3 linked regions of the Saccharomyces cerevisiae S288C genome follow. The protein of the gene in region 2 purifies or fractionates together with the protein of the main gene of each other region. This does not show direct contact. Each region holds a gene or a part of one and is shown on either strand. Other genes may lie near its edges.

Region 1 (3,015 bases), on a different chromosome or scaffold from region 2:
TTTTCCAAAACTTGCTTACCAGCAGGAATGACTTCCTTACCGATACCGTCACCGGGGATAAGACCAATAGTGAGTGATTTGCGAGCAGCGTTAGATGCTAACCCACGGCAGGCAGATAATCTAGTAGCAACAGATCTAAACATCTTTTTGAGTGCGTTACTATCTTAGTTATATAAATATGTCGCACTAATATAATAATCGCATAGATACAGTCTTAGCTAATTCTAAATCAGTTAAGATGTCCTTATATAACTGTAGAACCAGTTTAGTTTCTTGTTGTTCTTTCCTCTAATTAGAGTCATCTTAAGAATATTTTTCCACGGGAAAAAAGTGAAAAAAAAAAAAAAAAAAAAAAAAAAGAGTGGGAATTTTCAGTGCAGTTGAAAAAATCGAGGTGGAATTTGAGAACGACAATTACTTAGCACTACATGTGTTGTTCTCGTTTGTTTTTAATTATATACAGGTTGGTTAGGTGACGTTGGAGAAAAGAGGCAGCCCACCTAGAAGTGGAGGTTCTCGGAAGTGGTGGATTCTTCTTCTTGCGCCGTATTCAATGTAGTGTCGTCCTTCCACGACCCTGCAGGGTTACTTGTCCTTGCTGCCATTAGTTCAGTTTCTTCAACTACCTTCTTTTCCCAGACGTCTAGGACCTCTTGTTCCTTTTGTATACCATGTTCAATGGCAGAAACTCCAAAGAGGGATCCGAACATCTCCGCTTCTTCCAAAGCCACTTGCTGCTCTGTTTCTTCTTGCATTCTCAACGCATAGAATTCATATCTGGCATGGTCATATGCTTCGACCATGTCCCCATACTGCTTCGTTTTGATTAAGTACATAGTTCGCTGGATAACACTTTCACCATCGAGTGGTCTTCCTATCTGAAGCATATGGCTCCAATCGTAGTTTTCATCACCAATTTCGTTTTCCACTAAAATCTTAGGTCTCGACAACTCCCATGGATGTTGTTTGTAAAAGAGCGATCTGAGCCTATCCTCAACGTATGTTAGTTTAGGTGGCCTGTACAGCCTTTTCACGCCCACCCTTTTGTCGCTCGAGTTGGGTCTTGTCTTGTAAAGTCCCTTATTGTTGGCATGCGGTTGTTCTGTTACGTCAACAAGTTTTCCTATGATGTGTCCATTGGAAGGATTCTTAAAACGAGGTTCACGTGTAAACTTGGTTGATGGTGGGATAGACGCTACAACGTTGTACCACGCAGGTGTTTCTTTCAACAATCCTGATTTCAAGTAAGCGGACGTCCGTTGAAGGACGTTTACAGCATTTGTTTGTATCTTCATTTCTCAGAATTCTAAGATCTTCTTCTTGAATGGTGCGCAATGTCCTTCTTCCTTTTCCAAGCTTCTAATGAGGTTATTTTCTTAGACTTTTGTGCAGTATCTAAATATTATTGGTTTTATTGCTTGTAACTTGCACTTTTCTGTAATTGCCGAAGTATCAAAGAAATTTCAACTCTCAAAGAAGATGCGCAAGAATGAAGACCAAATGAAAAATGTCATAAAAAAGCAGTATATTAGCTGTCTTGGGTTAGGGTCCTCGTTCAACAGATTCTTTTTGCTTAATGGTGCAAATGAGATCCAAAAACATGGCATACGAGTCGGGAACTAATAACTATAGTGATACAATAGCTAATGGAAATACCCTGCCGCCGCGAAGCAAGAAGGGACACAGTGGACGTAGAAAGAGGAGCGAAACTTTGCCCATAGCGTGTAATAATTTTTGTGTTACAAGACAGATTGATGACGATGAACAAGCGTTCAAAATGCTAGATAAAGTGAGTCATCTGAAAAAATTCAGTGCTGAAGACGGTGATGATAACAATATATTCGTCCAATGGGCCGATGATATTACAGATATCTTATTTGGACTATGCTGTACAGGAACGTTTTTGAAACTTCTTATAAGCTCTGCATTATCCGGCCGGGCTAAGACATGGTTTGATTCTACAACGGAGGGAATCGATGACCATGTGATAAAGGCTTACAGTTTTGAAAAATTTCTTGCTCTACTATCAGAAGAATTTGATGGAGCAAGATCTTTAAGAAGGGAAATTTTTACGGAACTATTGACGTTGTCCATTGATTCTGAGAAGTCATTAGAAGCATTTGCCCATAAATCGGGACGTCTAACTCCATATTATCTGTCTTCTGGTGCTGCGTTGGATCTATTCCTCACAAAATTGGAGCCACAGTTGCAAAAGCAACTGGAAAATTGTGCATTCCCAATGACTTTGAATTTAGCACTATTGATAACTGCCTGTGAATTTGCGAAGAGAGCATCTAATCATAAAAAATACCGGTATAAAAATACGAGGGATTCCGACATTTGTACTCCAAAGAGTAAGAATACTGCTATCGTTAGCAAATTATCGAATACTAAAACTATAAGTAAGAATAAGGTTATTGAAAAGAGTGATAAGAAAAATTACTTTGATAAGAACAGTCAACACATACCCGATCCTAAACGTCGGAAACAAAATGAACCTGGAATGCGGCTCTTTCTTGTCATGGATGAGGAAAAGAATATTCTTACATCTAGGAATGTTTCTGCCAATGCATACACATCAAAAAATGGACACACCAATTTAAGCGATCTCCATACGAATCTTAAAAACAGTAAATCTCAACAATGTGCAGTGGAGCCAATATCGATTTTGAATAGCGGCAGTTTGGTTACAGGCACAATTAATATTGACCTAATTAATGATGAAGTTTTAGGCACGAAGGAGGAAACTACAACTTATGATGAACGTATGGATGGAAACTCACGTTCTTTGAATGAGAGGTGCTGCGCCGTCAAGAAAAACTCACTACAACCTATAACATCAAATATATTTCAAAAAAACGCTGAAATTCAGGGCACAAAGATCGGGAGCGTTCTAGATAGTGGTATATCGAATAGCTTCTCCTCAACAGAGTATATGTTTCCGCCCACAAGCTCTGCGACAGTTAGTAATCCAGTAAAAAAAAATGAAATCAGCAAGAGTAGCCAGGTTAAAGA
Region 2 (4,480 bases):
TAGGTTCATTTTGCGCTCGCATAAACAGTTTTCGTCAGGGACAGTATGTTGGAATGAGTGGTAATTAATGGTGACATGACATGTTATAGCAATAACCTTGATGTTTACATCGTAGTTTAATGTACACCCCGCGAATTCGTTCAAGTAGGAGTGCACCAATTGCAAAGGGAAAAGCTGAATGGGCAGTTCGAATAGTACTTAAGATTAGTTAAAAGTCCATGATTGAACATTGATGTGGTAGTTACATGCATGATGAATATGCGCCATGAGAGGTTGGTGAATTTTGAGATAATTGTTGGGATTCCAATGTTGATAAAGGCTGTTATATTATGTATACAGAATATACTGGAAGTGTCTCCTCGAGGATATAGGCATCCCCAAAAAGGAATCGATATTTCTACATAATAATATCACGATTGTTCCTCATTCCATTTCATATGTTTCATTATCCTATTACATTATTGATCCTTGTATTTCAGCTTTCTCTAACTTCGATGACAGTTTCTCATACCTTATGTCATCATGTCCACATTTGACACCATATAAGATAATATACTGGTAGTATAACCACTAGTTGATGACGATAGTTGATTTTTATTCCAACACGCGGACATATTAAATGTACGGTGGCTAGCAGGCCTCCTATTCACCATATTTAATCTTCATTAGTTGTACCTTTGACCATTGACAATCAACACAATAATTATGAACAAAATTTCCTGGTACAATGATTATGGTAAAGAAGAAAAAAAACGCTGCTTGCTATAACCAAATCAGAAAATATAATACTATAATAAAAATACATCAAACTACTTATCTTCAATTATTTTCCCGCATAATTAGATCATATAACTGCTGGAACATCAAACAAATATTAGCTCGCGTGGCGTAATGGCAACGCGTCTGACTTCTAATCAGAAGATTATGGGTTCGACCCCCATCGTGAGTGTTTTTTACACCAGCAGTCAAAAAGAGTTACTTTTGATATTGCATGTGTCGATGATGCAACTATGTCTTTCTCTGCGTACGGAATCTAGAGCTATGTTAAATGCTTGTTTTTAAACTATCTATCGTTCATCTAGTTATAAATTATAATTATATTACAGTTTTTCATCTATCCATTCGCGCCATTGGGAAATTTTTCTTTTATTAATACTGCCCTCAAAAGCAACTACAGATGCTTCCAAATTTGCAAATTTGAACCCGTCGGTAGACTGTAAAACGTCTAGTGTATTCTCTGCATAATCTTCTTCGTTAATTTTTCTTTCAACCTCGTTCAACGATTTTTTCCTTCTTTCAATAACCTTTTGAATTTCGCTTTCTAAAGCATCCTTGATCTTTGATGGTGGTCTTGCAGTGAACAATTCGCTTTTATTGCATGCAATTAAGATATCAATACCATTTTCGCAACTAGATTCAGTAATTGATAATATGTCTACCAAGAACTCAGCTGTTGTTGTTAATTTCTTAGGATCAACTGTTGAGTCTACCATAAATATCAACCCTTTAACAAATTTGGCTCTTGTTTTCAAATAATCTGAGAGTTTATAACGCAACTTGACATGGCCTGGGAAGTCCACTAACGTGACGCCGGAACCATCGTAATCCGCTGCTGATAACGGTTCTTGAGAAACAACAGTTGGTCTTACTGAATCTGTGGTTAGCAGCGTAAGCAAGCTCGTTTTTCCAGAATTTTGAGGACCTGCAATGATAATAGATGGTTGATAACTTTTTTGCTTGATCCCTGTCTTGGAGGATGCCTTTTGCACTGCTATTAGCGCTATGGTTGTCCCTATCACCAATAAACAGGCAATAATAAGTGTATTACTAAGCATTCTGATCCCGTGTGCTATTATGCTAATAAACAGCAGTGGTAAAGTAATAATTAATTGATCAATACAGACACTTAAAGCCTAACTATTTCTTTTCTTCTCATCTTTTTCAAGTTTAATGATGGTTCATATTTGTTTTCCATATCTCTTATTTTTTTCCGCCACTAGATGAAAAAAGTGAATGGTGAAAAATTAAGAACAGTATTGCAGCAAAACCTCTGACACTTTAGGACATAAGGTGGCCCGTCTAGTTTAGGTAAAATGATGAAAAGATGCTTCAGTATCCTACCACAAAATGTCCGGTTCAGCTCAAAGTTCACAAGTTTAAACTTACCAAAGTTAGATTTGGCGGATTTTATAGACTCAAATAAAAGAGGAATCAATGTTCTTCCGTCGTACAGAGATGAAACCGCTAGCACCACTCAAGCAACTAATTCTAAAGAGCTCAGATTACTTTCCAAAACACTTCAGGGCCAGTCGTACCGGGACCAATTAGAGTTGAATCCTGATGTAAGCAAAGCAATCAACAATAATATTATGGCTGTACATATTCCCAATAATCTTAGAAGGGTTGCTACAAATTATTACAAAGAGATTCAGGAACCAAATTCATTACATCGTCCCTGTAGAACCAAAATGGAAGTGGATGCACATATAGCGTCCATTTTTTTACAAAATTATGGTTCTATTTTCCAAAGTCTGAAAGAATTACAAAAAAGGGTAGGTCCTGATAATTTTAAACCTCAAAGAATCCTTGATGTTGGATATGGCCCAGCGACTGGTATAGTTGCCTTGAATGATATTTTAGGCCCAAATTATAGACCTGATCTAAAAGATGCCGTTATTTTAGGGAATGCGGAGATGCAAGAAAGAGCCAAAATCATTTTGAGCAGACAACTTAACGAGGTGGTCGATACTGTAGAAGAAAATGTGTCTACAGAGAAAGAGCAGGAAACAGATAGACGGAACAAAAACTTTCAAGAGGATGAACATATTGGAGAAGTGATGACAAAAAAGATAAACATTATGACTAACTTGCGGTCTTCTATTCCCGCATCTAAGGAATATGACCTCATAATATTAACGCATCAACTTCTTCATGACGGGAATCAATTTCCAATTCAGGTGGATGAAAATATTGAGCACTACTTAAATATTCTAGCGCCTGGAGGCCACATTGTTATTATTGAACGAGGCAACCCAATGGGATTCGAGATTATAGCCAGGGCAAGGCAAATTACGCTTAGACCTGAAAACTTTCCAGATGAATTCGGAAAAATACCAAGACCTTGGTCTAGGGGAGTAACAGTCAGAGGCAAAAAAGATGCTGAATTAGGAAACATTTCCAGTAATTATTTTCTGAAGGTGATTGCACCTTGTCCACATCAAAGGAAATGTCCCTTACAGGTTGGAAATCCTAACTTTTATACTCATAAAGAGGGTAAAGACTTAAAGTTCTGCAATTTTCAAAAAAGCATCAAGCGTCCCAAATTCAGTATAGAGTTAAAGAAGGGTAAACTTCTCGCTACTTCATGGGATGGTTCTCAAGGAAATGCGTCGAGGCTAAAAGGAACGGGAAGAAGAAATGGTCGTGACTATGAAATTTTAAACTACTCCTATTTAATATTCGAGAGATCACATAAGGACGAAAATACGTTGAAAGAAATTAAGAAATTACGGAATGAAAATGTGAACGGCAAATATGACATTGGATCACTGGGTGATGACACGCAAAATTCCTGGCCTAGAATTATCAATGATCCTGTCAAACGTAAAGGTCATGTTATGATGGATTTATGTGCGCCATCAGGAGAACTTGAAAAATGGACGGTTTCGCGGTCGTTTTCTAAACAAATATACCACGATGCCAGAAAGAGTAAGAAAGGTGATTTATGGGCCTCAGCGGCCAAAACACAGATTAAAGGGCTGGGAGACTTGAATGTTAAGAAGTTCCACAAGCTAGAAAAGGAGAGAATCAAGCAGTTGAAAAAGGAAGAACGTCAAAAAGCTAGAAAGGCTATGGAATCTTATAATGAATTGGAGGACTCTCTTCAATTTGATGATCATCAGTTCTCAAACTTTGAGGTAATGAAGAAATTGTCCACTTTTCACGGCAACGATTTTTTACAACATGTAAATAGAAAATAGGAAATTGTAAGTAACTGGAAATAAAGTAATAATATTAATATATTCAATACTTTAATATTCTACATACGTGAATATGATATATATATAGTACAGTTTGTTGCAGCGTTTCTAAAAAGCCAATAAAGATGACAACTGAGTGTATATTATATATGATAAAACCTACCCTGCTGGTTCCATAATTGAATCACTTTATTAATGCTCTTCTTTTGAAGTAAATTTCGTTTCATCTGTCTAGTAATGAAATTACTTTCTTCTGAAAGATGTACCCTCAGAAAGCTTTGCCTTACCACCAGTTGGGGTGCACAAAATTGTTGAGCAGGATTCGCAGGTAACTGCAGTTTGGGCGTGTGAGAAAACTGTAGTGATGTTCAAACAACCTGGGCACTTAACGTCTAGGAAGTACGATCTTGGACCTTGGACTAATGTCTTTAATTTGTGCTTTCTTGCTTCAGAAGCTGCAGTTGGGTGCAATAAATCTTGAACTAAAACCTGTTGTAGAC
Region 3 (2,930 bases), on a different chromosome or scaffold from region 2:
AACTCGAACAGAGAAAAAAGTAGACATAGAAAGAACCCAAAGACCACAAGAGCAAACAATGGTACAGCTGAGAAGAACGTATGTATATATGTTCGTGGTAAGCTCGTTGGTATGCACGTATCTTAGGCATCACTACCAACAAAGTGTTTCAAGCGATCACGTCGACTAACGACAAAGTTGCTCACTTTGTCGTGTTCATGTGGGAGTCGTGGCTGTTTGTAAAGATGTTTGCTGAGGACATCGTGACTTTCCGCAAGCTACAGGCCAACAAGTACGTGTTAGGGGTGCTGATCTGTTCATTATGCGCAAGTGTAACGAGTGAATTCGCCCAAAGCGTGGTTTCGCGGGGACAAAGGGTGTTCGATGTGAAGGATATTATTTGTAATTTCTGGGGCAGTCTGCTTGGTGTGGGCATTGCCTTCTACCAGGACCGATAAAAAGAGATTATACGGAAAATCATATAAATGTGTTTATGTACAGGCAAGTTTACGTAGACTAGATTACTTTAATTGAATATATGCTCTGTGAGCAATGGCTGTCTTGTGAATCTGGTCCCTCTTTTCAAAGGCAGACGAAGTGCCTTTGGCAATGGCAGTGAGTTCTTCTCCCAAACGCACGGCGAAGTCGCTCGACACTCTTTGGTTTGCGCTTTGTACGATCCAGTTCCACGCGATCCTATTTCTTTGCCTCTTGTTCAGAGGCACAGGAATGACAGAAGCCTTGGCCACGCCTGTGTTGAATGTCTTGGTCATCATCAGCGGAGCTAGTTCGTCGAGTGACTTTTCCAAAGCCTGGATGGGGTCCTGCCGGGTCTGGCAGTACACCAGATATAAGGCCCTGGACAGAATGGTTTGTGCCTTTTCCTTCTTACCGTGGCGCATGATCATGTTTGTGATGTGATCCAGCGTTGCGTTCTTGCGTGGAGGAATGGGCACGGACTTCAGTGCCTCCCATTGTGCCAACTGCTCTGCAGTTGGCTTTATCTTGGAGCCCGCCTGTGAACCCTGTAAGAGGTCTACTTTGGACTGGCCCGGTGGAGCCAGCGAGGTCTCTGGCAGGTATTCTTTTGCAGAGAACTCTTCCCTTAGCTCGTTGATCGCTTCAAGCCACTCGTCGACCCCTTTCTCTGCCGATGGTTCGCTAGCTGGTGTTCGTACTGACGACTGGAAACGAGCAACACATGTCCCACTTTGCCACAGGAGACGTGGCCTGACTAACATATACCTCCTCGCACAATGCAGCATTATATTCACCTCAGATCCGTATCTATCTATTTTTCTTCTGAAAACGATAGCTGCTGTCTTTTCTGTACGTGTATAATGTGCATTGTATGTAGTAAGCTATTTCTCAAGCAAATGTAGATTGGAGCCAAGACGAACATTTAAAGCCGTATAGAACTACTTTGTTTCTTCTTCAGATGATCATTTCTCATATATGGTCACGTGGCTCGATGTTTATCGCTTTATCTTTTTTTTTTTTTTTTTTTTTGCTTTTCATTTTGGCTCTGCTCTCTGTATTAGCTCATCATTTAACGCAAATGACCACGAGACAATAAACCGACGAGGAATGTGCTCATATGTCTCGCCAATACCTCTAAATAATTGACCGCGCGATTATTTAGTGTGACCAGAGCAAAGTAGCTTTGCGTCCGACCATGCAACCATGGATATACTCAAAAATGGCAATAGTGTGCCCCTAATACGTTTGCTGGCCAGTATCCCTTTCTGAAATAAGCTAAACCCTTGCAACCACCAGGGGTGCCGCCGTCCTAACTTTCCAGCCTGGCAGCGCGTCGAGTCGCCGAATGTTGCGGGCGCTGCCCCGCCCGCAACACCGCGCCCGCCCTGCCTCAGCTTAACCGAAACCACACGGGTCTGCCATCTTCCATATACCCTGGCTCTTCTTTCACAATGCCCGCTCACAACGCCAACTGCAAAAGAAGCCCGCCCTTAGTCGGTTTTCCCCACTTTGATATAACCCCCCCCCCCCCCCCCCCGCATCAACTGGTAATTTAACCCAAACACCACGGGGTCATAATTTAAAAGCGAAAAACCTTAAAGCGTTCTCGAAGAAATCTTCCTGTAGATGATGTCGTAGCAAACTTATCTTTTAGAGTGTTTGTGCTTACTGCATTGTCAGATCAAAATTTACGTAGCCGCCCTTTTCAACCCCTGTCGAAGAGTAGCATAACAGCAGCGTAGTGAACGTGCATGTTCACAAATACACGTACAATATTAATATACAATAGTAAGGTGATGAACACACACACACACACACACACACACACACACACACACATATATATATATACAGGAGATCAAGTTAGTGTGAGGGGACGACTACTGAGTTTGAAGTTCTTTAAAGTGTTAAAGTTATTTTTCCCCTCTCCCACCTCGTTGGCAACCTCTCACCCACCGCTTAGCAGCATGTCTCCGTACATGACCATACCTCAGCAATACTTATACATAAGCAAGATACGTTCCAAGCTGTCTCAGTGCGCCCTTACTCGACACCACCACAGAGAACTTGATCTACGAAAAATGGTGGGCCACGCCAATATGCTGGACAGGATCCTCGACGAAATAGACGAAATCGACAGCGAGGTAGTACTGTGTGACGCTGCCGATGGTTCTTCTACTGCAGAAGCTCATTCCGCTTCCCCAGCATCCAGCGACTCTTCTCCTCTCACTAATAACATCCGGCCCATTAGCATTATGTGATTAGCATGCATTTTCCCCTTTTCCTTTCTTAAGAACATTTTTACGACGCGGATCTGCCCGTCATCGCATACGAATGTTGAATCACGCCAGAATCACCAAAGAAAAAAACTCGTTCAGTTCCTAGGTTTTATGAGCCAGGAACAATAGACTTTTATCGCATATTATTTCTATACGTGCACTTATATATGCACACATATGTTTATATACATA

The links. The genes of interacting proteins can lie anywhere in the genome.
Region 1: the proteins of RSM22 (region 2) and RSM25 purify together in Saccharomyces cerevisiae (affinity purification with mass spectrometry; 3 studies listed by BioGRID, with this or other methods). This does not show direct contact.
Region 3: the proteins of RSM22 (region 2) and RSM7 purify together in Saccharomyces cerevisiae (affinity purification with mass spectrometry; 4 studies listed by BioGRID, with this or other methods). This does not show direct contact.

What each region holds. Positions count from the first base shown.
Region 1 is NC_001141.2:187,490-190,504, forward strand, and holds RSM25 (mitochondrial 37S ribosomal protein mS23 RSM25), read right to left. Parts: upstream 1,296-3,015; coding exon 501-1,295; downstream 1-500. Other genes in the region: LYS12 (homoisocitrate dehydrogenase), read right to left, coding at 1-143; YIL092W (uncharacterized protein), read left to right, coding at 1,577-3,015. UniProt on the Saccharomyces cerevisiae protein: Component of the mitochondrial ribosome (mitoribosome), a dedicated translation machinery responsible for the synthesis of mitochondrial genome-encoded proteins, including at least some of the essential transmembrane subunits of the mitochondrial respiratory chain.
Region 2 is NC_001143.9:158,956-163,435, reverse strand, and holds RSM22 (tRNA methyltransferase RSM22), read left to right. Parts: upstream 1-2,093; coding exon 2,094-3,980; downstream 3,981-4,480. Other genes in the region: SRP102 (Signal recognition particle receptor subunit beta), read right to left, coding at 1,101-1,835; 40S ribosomal protein eS27 RPS27A, read right to left, coding at 4,224-4,469. UniProt on the Saccharomyces cerevisiae protein: Mitochondrial ribosome (mitoribosome) assembly factor. Binds at the interface of the head and body domains of the mitochondrial small ribosomal subunit (mt-SSU), occluding the mRNA channel and preventing compaction of the head domain towards the body.
Region 3 is NC_001142.9:637,732-640,661, forward strand, and holds RSM7 (mitochondrial 37S ribosomal protein uS7m RSM7), read right to left. Parts: upstream 1,245-2,930; coding exon 501-1,244; downstream 1-500. Other genes in the region: YJR112W-A (uncharacterized protein), read left to right, coding at 59-78, 128-437; YJR115W (uncharacterized protein), read left to right, coding at 2,211-2,720.